Linked DNA regions of Caenorhabditis elegans. The protein of the gene in region 2 purifies or fractionates together with the protein of the main gene of each other region. This does not show direct contact. Each region holds a gene or a part of one and is shown on either strand. Other genes may lie near its edges.

What was found.
Region 1: the proteins of F26F2.1 (region 2) and F59A1.15 fractionate together in Caenorhabditis elegans (co-fractionation; one large-scale study listed by BioGRID). This does not show direct contact.

What each region holds. Positions count from the first base shown.
Region 1 is NC_003283.11:17,680,013-17,685,988, forward strand, and holds F59A1.15 (Adenylate and Guanylate cyclase catalytic domain containing protein), read right to left. Parts: upstream 3,852-5,976; 5' UTR 3,845-3,851; coding exon 3,694-3,844; intron 3,052-3,693; coding exon 2,651-3,051; intron 2,354-2,650; coding exon 2,269-2,353; intron 2,225-2,268; coding exon 2,098-2,224; intron 1,877-2,097; coding exon 1,377-1,876; intron 1,104-1,376; coding exon 1,018-1,103; intron 966-1,017; coding exon 753-965; intron 700-752; coding exon 649-699; 3' UTR 605-648; downstream 1-604. Other genes in the region: F59A1.16 (Saposin B-type domain-containing protein), read right to left, coding at 4,137-4,259, 4,756-4,929; F59A1.6 (Saposin B-type domain-containing protein), read left to right, coding at 5,217-5,369, 5,916-5,976.
Region 2 is NC_003283.11:20,558,619-20,563,737, reverse strand, and holds F26F2.1 (Trichohyalin-like), read left to right. Parts: upstream 1-1,842; coding exon 1,843-1,980; intron 1,981-2,024; coding exon 2,025-2,186; intron 2,187-2,231; coding exon 2,232-2,423; intron 2,424-2,477; coding exon 2,478-2,609; intron 2,610-2,654; coding exon 2,655-2,846; intron 2,847-2,900; coding exon 2,901-3,032; intron 3,033-3,077; coding exon 3,078-3,224; intron 3,225-3,274; coding exon 3,275-3,451; intron 3,452-3,494; coding exon 3,495-3,734; intron 3,735-3,960; coding exon 3,961-4,038; intron 4,039-4,081; coding exon 4,082-4,273; intron 4,274-4,322; coding exon 4,323-4,424; intron 4,425-4,468; coding exon 4,469-4,576; downstream 4,577-5,119. Other genes in the region: F26F2.2 (Transcription termination factor Rho), read right to left, coding at 735-908, 1,002-1,076.

The DNA.
Region 1 (5,976 bases), 2.9 Mb from region 2:
CAGTTTTGAAATTTGAGCCAGGTCCAGTGGAATCCATAATTTTGTCGCTTATGGCCACTCAGCCAGTCATGGATTCCCTAGTACCTATGTATTTTATAAGAGACTACCGAAATGCAATTAGGAAGGTTTTTGTAAAGGTTACAGTACCTGAACTATCAGTTACAACGCCGGGAAATCGAGTTTTTCCAATATAAATTTTATTTCTATGCATTTCTCCATTTTCACATTTCTGATATCTCAATTCCCCGCAGAGTTATGCCGTTTCAAAGTTTAGAGGCGAGAGAGTATGGGGGAAGGGGAGAGTACACTCTGGTGCCTTCTCTGCGTCTCTTCCCCCCCTTCGCTGTCTCGCTAGCAAAACTTTAAATAGCAGTATCTCCTTAGTGGTTTGAGATATCTGAAAACTTCCAATTGAAGAAATTGTCAGCGGAAAATTCTACGTTCATTGTGATAATTCAAAGTGTATTTAATATTTGATACTAACTTCGTTTTGTAGTTTTTTCACGTACCTTCTTAACTGTCAACTTCCCCTCTTAGACTTCGAATTTGCGTATCATTGTAGCCGTAAGAGATACCGAAAAACTTTCAAAATGTTCAGCGAGACATTTTCTATTAGAAAAATTTATTTATAGACAATTGTTCCAGTATCTAGTTCACAAATTCCGGTGCTGGTGGGCATGCCCTTTGTCTATCGTTGTTCTGAACAAGAATTCATGAAAATGTTTTCTCTAAACTTTTCTACAGTTACTTACATTATATTCTGAAAAAAACACATTCATGTCATTCTTCTTTCTCGGAGTTATCAACAAAATCAGCATTGCCAAAATCGAGATCAACACCAGAATCATCTCCCCGCCGATACTATCCATCGAGTAGAGTCCGCGAACATTTCCATCAAATGAGTATTGCACAAAATAGAGCACCGCAATGATTGGTGCACGGATCAACACAGGCATTACTTCAAGCTGAGGGAAATTGAAAGTTAGTTGAATTATAAAAAAAAGAGAAAATGGTTACCAAATGAACTTTCACAAAAAAGCGAACAATATCTGTGAGAGCACTGGTAAATATCCCGATTGCCAAGTAGAACGGAAAGACAGAATCTGGAAATATAACTTATCTGACGCAAAATTTTATGTTGATCATTTCCTCAGTTGAAAGTTTTTCGATAACTCTCACCGTTTAGGAGATACAAGCGTTTGAAGTTAGCGGGTGAGAGATAGTAAGCGGGGAGAGACGCAGGCGGTGCGTTGCACTCTCCCCGGCACACACACTCTCTCGCCGCCAAACCTTTAAACGCGTATATCTCCTGACCGGTAAGAGGTATCGAAAAACTTCCAACTGATAAAATGCTTAAAATTTTGTGTTCTACTCACGCTCAATGGTATAATGTTGAGAGCACTTGTCATATGTCTTGAAAATCGCCGGAATCACATAAATAACCGATGTCGTGAGAAAAATCACTGGAATAGTCAAAATCACTGGGAGAATCCGTCGAGTTGGCATCAAAAAGCTCAGAATCAGGAGCAAAATGGCTGATAGAGTGTATGACGTCATGGGTATCAGAGTTTTCTCGAAGAACATGAGCTCGGCGTGCTTGATGGTTTCGGCTTCGAAGAAAGCGTCGACAGCAAGGCTGGCGCCGGAGATCACACCACAAACGAGCACTTCTTGAATTAGCTTGAACGATTTCAGCGTTTTCACGAAGATCTCGATAGCGTTATCATTATTCTCGAAATTTTCGAATGCGATCTGATCGATTACGGCATCTGGCGCCTGGTAGATGTCGGATTTTTTGAAGATCTCAGTCACCCGATCCTGCATTTGATCCGTCTTACTTCGAGCCAACAAACTGTACAGAGAGTCGTGGAATGTGCTGAAATATTGGATTTTTAGTCAATTTTCAGCGGGAAATTTATATTTTCAGCCAATTTTTCCCAGGAAATTCAATTTTTTTGTTAATTTTCACCGGGAAATTCAAATTTTCCAGTCAATTCCCGGCTTTGATTTTAGATTTTTGTTCCATTTTTGATCCAAAATTTAAATTTTCAGTAAATTTTTGGCTTGAGATTCACAGTTTCGTCAATAAAAACCCACTAATAAGTGACAAATCCCATGATGATCGTGAGAAATCCAAAAATCTCAAAGCTGTACGACAAATCCATGGAGAATTCTGATGGTAGACGAACGGCTACAGTGGAAAGTGTGTGTGAAGCTGTGCGGACTGAAAATTTGAATTTTTCGTAGACTTTGTAAGCTCAAAGCTACCAATTTCCAGGAGGATCAACGCCGGCATTCTGTGATACTTTGGAACCGACTCAGCAATTGTGATTAAGGCAACGATGCGGTATATCTGAAAAAAATTTAAGTAAACTTAAGTGAAAGTTGTAGATCATAAAATTTTGAATATTTCCGTAGTTGAAAGTTTTCGAATATCTTTATTCTCCGCTGAGATACACGCGTTTAAAGCTTGGGCGGCGTGAGAGTGTAGGGTGAGGGGAGACGCAGGCCGGCGCGCCGACTGCGTCTCTCCCCCTCCCCTACTCTCTCGCTGCGCTGACTTCAAACCTTCATATCTCCTCAACCGTTAGAGATATCAAAAAACTTCCAACTGATGAAATGCTCATTAACATATTTTCAATGCGCTCACCTCCGAAAAAATCTGCGAAACATAAATGCTCATCTGAATTTGAGAGTCGAAATGTGCCATCACAAAATACGCGGTGCTCACAAATCCCAGACAACACATTACCAGCTTTCTGGGGCTCAAAGTAGTCGTGGCAAACATGAAGAAAGTATCCATCACAATAGTCAGCTCTCCTTTTGGTACTCGAACTGGAATGAAATTCACTTTTTCAGCAACTTTCAGTGAATCATCCATATTGTTTGGGAGACATTTTGAGTAGAAATACTCATTTGTTCCGTTGTGTTTCATAGTTTCCAGAGATTTAAGCTTTTGGGTCTCTGTTAGGAATCTGGAGGAGAAATAGATGAAGAAGTAGACGATGAAGATTGGAAACACGGTTTTTCGGTAGTGCGGGTAGTTGGATCCTGGAATAATTGACATTTGGGTAGAAAATTGTACGCTGATAATTTTGTCAATTGAAAGTTTTTCAGTATCTCTATTCGTTTAAAAGACATGCGCGTCAAAAAACTTGACTAGAGAGTGTGGTGGGGAGAAAGACGCAGTAAGCTCGCGCGCCTGCGCTCTCCCCTCCTCCAACACTCTCTCGCCGTACAAGCTTAAAACGCGTGCAGCTCCGCGGAGAATGAAGATATTCGAAAACTTTCAACTACGGAAATACTCAAAATTTTATGATCTACAACTTTCTTTTAAGTTTTTCAAAAAAATATTTCATAATTCCTAAAACTTTTGGTTGAATATTCTGTTTAGATCTTGAAAATTCACGCATAAACACTCTGTGTACTGCGGCCGACGCTGTGCAGGTCCGCGTGGCGAGAGCACCGCTTTCGTGGAAGGCCTGCTAGAGAGTGTGGCGGGAAGAGAGGCGCAGGTAGCTCACGCGCTTGCGCTCTCCCCTCCCCCACACTCTCTCGCCGCTAAACTTTAACCTGTCGTATCTCTGCGTAGGATTCAGATACCAAAAATCTTTCAAATAAAAAAAATGTTCAAAATTATCCGCACAATATTTTGCAATAGTTAATTTTGGCGTAACTCCCACCAAAACTCACCAATATACGTCATAAGCTCCTCCAAACTGCCGAACATTCTCCCATCATTGATTGATGCATCGGATGAGCTTGGCTTTAGCTCCGTCTCGACTCTCTCATCATTTTTTGTTTTAGAATTTGAAGTTTGTGACGAACTCAGTTCCGAAAACATTTTTGAAATACAGAAATGATTGGAAATTGAAAATATAGGGGAGGGAAGCATTGTGGCAAAATATGTGGATAGCGTGAACTTGGAAAATAATAAAAATTGACTAAAACTTTTTTGGATACAACACAAAATTGTACAAATTTAATAAGTAGATCGCTTTCGAAAAAAATTCTAACTGAATAATTGTTTGAAATTTTCCCATTTTTTTAAAACTAAAATTCTCAAGATAATTTGTTTGTAAATTCGAGAAAATCTATTGTTTTAACATTTATTTCCATTCAAAAATTTATGGAAATCAACAAAAATATACGAATTTGCACAATTCCTGTGGGGTAGAATCCAAGTCATCATCGAGTTGATCTGCGATCTCTACAAGGGATTTGATGAGCTTTGGACATGTGGATCCGGAGCAATTTTTCTGAAAAAACTCAAATGTCAGCGATTTTTGAGCGATGGTAATTCAAAATTGGAAATCTACACTAAAATTGGGCCTGGAAGCTTTTTCTGCAAACTTTTTAAGTGACCAAGTGGCTCAGCTGGGTACGGGTTTGGTTATGACGCAGAAGGTCAGGGGTTCAACCCCCACAGCGGCGAAAATTTTTGTTTTTTTTTGTTTCTGCGACTAAAATCATTTTGATCTTCAGAGTATAAAAGAAAATTTAAATTTTCAAAAATTATCAGAATTTTGTTCTTTTTTTTTGAAAAATTTCATTTTTGAGTTTTTTAGGTCAGACTTAATGCGATTATGTATACAAATTTGAAATCTACGCAATTTTTGGATTTGGAAGTCGTTTTCCCGCAAATTTTAAAATTGGTCTCGGTGGCTCAGTAGGGTAGAGGTTTAGTTGCGGCGCAGAAGGTCAGGGGTTCGACCCCCACTGCACCCAATTTATTTTTATTTTTCAGTTACTCACCTCTACATGCTTCTTCACATAATCGTCGATTTGTTTCGCTGACAAATTAGCCATATAGGCCAATCCCTTGCCATCCTTGATCGCCTTCACACTTTTCGTGCAAAAATCGCATTTATTAGCGAATATCGGAGAAATACAGAGTGCCAGGAGCAAAGTGAGAAGGAGAAGCTTCATATTGGAGGGAATCTGGAAGTTTTTTTTGAAATTTGAAGAGAATCCTACTCATTTTTATACCAATTTTCTTGGGAAAATCTTCAAAAATTCCTAAAATTCGAGTTTTTTCCCACGAAAAATTTCCATATTAGACGTTCCAAAAGACGTGGTGTTTGGTGACAAAATGGAAATAATGCAAATCATATGTAAAACAATCAATTTAAATTTCAAATTTCGGTACTGTAGAGATCCTCTGCAGTTTTTGCTAATCACTTATCACTCATTAACCACACCGGGAGGCCCAAAACATGAAGCTTCTGCTTATTTTCTCTGCAATTTTCGTTCTTGCCGCTAGTGCTTTCGCTGATATTCAAGAGGCTCAGGGACAATTCTGCGAGATGTGTAATAAGAATTGGGAGGAGAAAGTGCCGAAGAGTTGGGCAGAAATGACGGGATATATGGTGAGTTGGAAACAAAAACTAATGAAAAGTTCGAATTTGGCGCGAGATTTTGATCTTGGAGGCGTTTTTAGCACAAATTTTTTATCGGGTGGCTCAACCGGGTAGAGGTTTGGATTCGGCGCAGAAGGTCAAGGGTTCAATCCCCACTAAGAGCAAATATTTTTGTTAAGTTGGATCACTATGAAGAAGATTAAATGTTTTTTGAAAATCGCGTTTTTACCGAAATCCGGATTTTTTGTTGTGAATTTTCCGAAAAAAGGCATCGAAATAGTCTGAACAGAGGTCTAAAATCGAAATTCGGAGTTAGATTCAATGAAAAATGGCCCTAACTCATTTTTTTTGACCATAAAAGCTGTTTTTTTCAAATTTCGAAAAAATGATGCAATGGCTCAGTTGGGTAGAGGTTTAGCCAAGGCGCACAAGACTGGGGTTCGATCCCCGCCGGCGGCAAATTTTTTGTTTTTTTTTTGTTTAGAAAAAGTAGTTTAACACTGAAAACCTTAAGATTGACATCCTTTTCAGAGGAAATTTTAAAAAAATTTCCAGAACCTTGCGTGCTTCCAACTTCACAAAACTCTCAAGCCAAAATGTATGGCTCTGGTGAACA
Region 2 (5,119 bases):
CTGACGGCAAATATTTTGTTGACCACAATATATTGGTACAAGTAGCACATTATGCTTACATTAGGCTGGGCTTGATTGCTGTTTAAAAACACACTGAAGACGTTTATTGTATAATTTTGATTTTATTTTTGAACGTGGCAAACCTTTCTTGCACCATATTATACTTTAAAAAAATCACTAATTTCGATATCTCCCAAATTTACGTATTCAAAGGTTTCATAGGAAACCGTCAAATTTGCTTTTTATGCATGCCATTTAAACGCTATTTGTTTGTTCAATCAGAGTAAAACATTTGATTTGTTTTATTATCCGCCATTTACAGACAATTGTTCAGTATTCAGTGCAAAACCAGTTTAAAAACTCACTCTCTCGCTCATGAGAGACGCAGAGACAGATTATTACTTTTTTAAATGTAATTTTTTTTTTAATTGAGAGAGGCCGTGTTACACAAGATTAAAAAACACGCCAAAACTGTGTTTATTTTAAAAATAACGAGATAGATATAGGTAGTATATAGCTAATATAGCTAACTTTAAGAAAACTTGATTAAAACAAAAATGTAATAGATGAGATTTAAAATTGCAATAGATAAAGAACACCCAAAACAATTGTCTCCCTTGTTTTCTTCTTCTGATTTTAATGGAAATGTCTACGGGACTCTCCTCCCTTTGTGCTTCGGCCGAATTGTCAAAGACGTAATAATAATAATCATAATAATAATAATAATTGATTTATTATTTTTTCCTATTTGAAGTATGAACAACATTGAATGAACAATTATTACAATTGAAAATAAAAATATGATAACCAGCATTGACTTCTTTGAGATTATTTTCACTTCGAATCGCGTTTCGATCATCTCTTGCCTGGTCGGACAATCTTGCATTGTAGTTCATCTCCATCATTCGCTGAAATATAATACTTGTGGTAAATTATTAATTATTGATTATTAGGTAAAGTATTAAACATTATTAATTAATAGAAAAAATAAATTTAAAAACCTTCATGAAATCATGTTGCCGGGAATTTTGCTTATCCAGCATTTCCGCCATCCGCAGTGTATTGTTGTCGCTCATTGTTTGGGTGTTGGAATTGTTTTCTGAATTATGCTTTACATTGAAATGAATATAACAAAATTCCGTTTAATTGTTTAAAAAAACACAATTTTTAGTAACCATCATTTAAATATAAAGTTTTAGTGTTTTACTAGAACATGTTGCAGGAAAATTAATGATACAAATGGGGTAAAAAATAAAGAGAATATAATGCTCCCTTGAGTGCAAGCTTCTTTTATACTGAGAGGACACATCAACCTCATGAATAATCAAAATATTGCTAACAATTAATTCCTCCTGTCAAGGAAAAGTTTTGAAAGAAATGTGCTCTTGAAAGTTAATTTTCATGTTCCTCAGATTTCATGACGCTTCGCGGTTAGTTTTTTGACAGGTTATGTTTCTTAGTTCTATAATTTTATTGAAATGCACTTTCTTCCGTATGAGGAATTGTGTTATCTTTCAATAATGTGGAGCAATATTTTTATTTATAAGGAATGCTCTTATCAGTTCAGTATAAATTGAAGAGCGGAGACCACGAATGTTCAGTTGTCTTACTTTTATTGTTTTCTACAGCGTTGTTGTAGTAAAGCCTGTAATAGGGGCTGTGTGCTAGCCAAAAAACTGTTTTCTTAATTTTCGAATTTTTCGTAGGCTAAAAGTACAATTATATACCTTGAAGTTTTTTTCTGATTCTTTTTGGTGCTTTATTAGAATTCTCTTACTTTTTCATTGAAAATTAGCATACTGCCTTTTTTGCAGTGAGGCTGATAAATTAAGAGTGAGCGATATGTTCGGGCCCCATCACGCTGACAGTCAGAACAGTTTGCATGAAGACTCTGAACATTCCGACAGACATTTGGAGCACGACTTTCGAGGTCACCGCTCGGATAATGATGAACAGAGGCAAAATGGTGTGGTGCTTAAGGTATGTAACCCCAACCTAATTCGGTAACGGGAAGCAAATTTCAGAGTTATAAACCGCTGAATCAAGAGTTCGGAGAAACTGATCAAAGAAGAAGCAAATCAATGGGAATGAAGAGTGAGCAAAGTTCTGCTGAAGTTCATGGAGCAGCAGGAGAATCATTCGATCAGAATTTTCAACGAGAACATGAGCAGGACGATCAGCGGAGGGTAAGAGATTTTTGAAATGAATATGTCGATAAATCGAATTTTAAGATGAACATGGGATCAGGACATGGATCCCGCGAAGGTAATCGAACAAGAGTTGACAATGGGAGAAATGAGCCAAACACAAAACAATCTTACACTGCAAGACCAGAAGAATCTCGTGTGGATGCGAGTGATGACTACCATCAAAAACAACTTGATTCTGGCAGACAGAATGCAGTACATAGACGGGAAGATGAGGTAACACAGAAACCGGCTTGTCTATATTTTACATAATATAAATTCGAATTTTAGCGTTTTGTGGAGGAGCGACCAGCAACTAGAGAAACCCATCTAGGAAGTGATAGAAACTACAGAGAATCTTACGTACAACGAGAAGCACATGGAGACATGACTGAGCAACAGTTTCAGGACGATCAGCGGAGGGTAAGAGATTTTTGAAATGAATATGTCCATAATTCGAATTTTAAGATGCACTTGGAGAGAGGTCATGGACCCCGCGAAGGTAATCAAACAAGAGTTGACAATAGGAGAAATGGGCCAAATCCAAAAGAATCTTACACTGCAAGACCAGAAGAATCAAATGTGGATGCGAATGATGACTACCATCAAAAACAACATGATTCTGGCAGACAGAATGCAGTCCATAGACGGGAAGATGAGGTAACAAAGAAACCGGCTTGTCTATATTTTGCATAATTTAAATTCTGATTACAGCGTTATGTGGAAGAGCATCCAGCGACTAGAAATAAACGTTTAGGAAGTGATAGAAACTACAGAGAAACTTACGTGCAACGAGAAGCACATGGAAACGGGACCGAGCAACAGTTTCAGGACGATCAGCGGAGGGTAAGAGGGTTTTGTAATGAATATGTCGATAATTCGAATTTTAAGATGAGCATGAGGTCAAGTCATGGATCCCGTGAAGGTAATCAAACAAGAGTTGACAATAGGAGAAACGAGACAAGTCCAAAACAATTTTACACTGCAAGACCACATGGGAACATGACCGAGCAGCAATTGCAGGATGAGCAACGGACGGTAAGTTTGAGAGATTATCTTATGAATATTTAGATATTTTGAATTTTAAGATGCACATGGAGACAGGATACAAAACTCCCAATGCGGATCAAAGAAGGAAGAACGATAAGGCTTGTCAAAATCAAGAAAACTACAATGATCCTCGTATGACGGTAAATGGAGATTTTCATCAGCGACGAAATAGTTTTGACAGTCAGCAAGAAGAGCGGAGACTAAGGGGAGACGAGGTAACAAATTTTTTATTTTACTGTGAATACATTATAATTCCAGCGTCACATCGAACAGAATCGAGCATCAAGAGAAAACGAACAAATGAGATTTGAGAAAAAGCGAGAGCAAAATTTTGCAAATCCCAGAGTGGCACAAGAACGGATGGGCGCATCAAGTTATCAAAACGTCCACGGATTCGTTGAGCCCAGGGAACTAGAAACTCATGAAGAGCCGAGAGGTCACGGATTTCACGAAAATGATCGAACAAGCCTTGAGCCGAATTACAAAAATGTCTCCATGGTAAGATCGAAACAAGTTTATAATGCTGGTAAAAGAGATACTCGTCAGAGTCAGTTCGACTAAGACATGCAATAAGCAAAGCTTACTATGAGGAAAATGGGGTAAAACGCATTTTGATTCACATATAGCTTTATAAAATAAAGTGTCAGCTTTCTATGATAATAAATATTAAATCTAGAGAATACCCCATTCGAGGTAGGAGAAAATGCAAAACCTAAATTTTCAGAATCCCAGAGGGGTGTTTGATCAAGGAGTGCAACGGTATGCAGAGAATCGAGAAGATTGGTCGGATGATCAGCAGAGGGTAAGAACTATCCGATGAATACACCTATAACTTAAATTTTAAGATGTACATGGAACCAGGTCAGAGACACCGCGAAGATCACCAAACGAGAGTTGGCAATAGAGGAAATGGGCCATATCGCGGAAATTCTCACAATACTTCAAGGGCTGATGAACTTCATCTTCAGCGCCGTCAAACCAACAATAGCCAGATTCATAATCAGCAATTTGATGATCATTTCGTCGACAATAGAAAAGTAGGAATTAAGGTTTTATACTTTAACACACACACCACTCAATTTTTAGACTCATTCCTACAATGGACCAGAAGATAAAGACCCTAATCACTTACGATTGTCGTTGGAACAACAGGAAATCAGAAATATAGACGGATTTAATCAAATGAAAGTGAGTCTAATGAAATTTTTTAATTGATCATTGTGAATACTCAGAGAATGATGGAAAACAATCGAATGATATTAGAGGCTGATCATGCCAAAAGAGACGCAAAATCAATAGCGAAGGAAGAGAAAATCAAGAAACGTTTTTTATTTTTTTGATTAAAATTTTTATGAATGAGCTTTGTTTAGACCATACATCCATGAGCACGACATTCAGAGGAACGTTTACGAATTTTTTTCTCATTTTAGTTTTACATCATTTACAAATACCCTAATTTTTCATGATGTCTTTTTAAATGAACCTTTTAATGAACCAATAATCGGTCATCTTATATTTTTGGGTATCGTCAATTTTGTGATGGAATTTTAACTATAGTTTACGACAAACATATTTTTAAAGAAGAACTAACGGTTTGAGCAATTTTGGAAGTGTCGGCTGAAACGAATGAATTTCGTAACGAAACTGCTCACAAATTTTTCAAAAATGTTTTATGCCGGTTTAAAATTTTGAAAAAAAATCACGCTGATTTTAGCTAAAATCTCGAATTTTGACCACTTTTCCGTGCCGCATCTGCCCAAAATTAACTTTTTTGGAGTTATCAACCTTCTTTGCATATTTTGGTAGTTTATCTCATTTAATTTAGTCAATTAAGGTGATCCTCAGTAACAAAATTTCTTTAACATCCTTCCTCCGTTTTCATT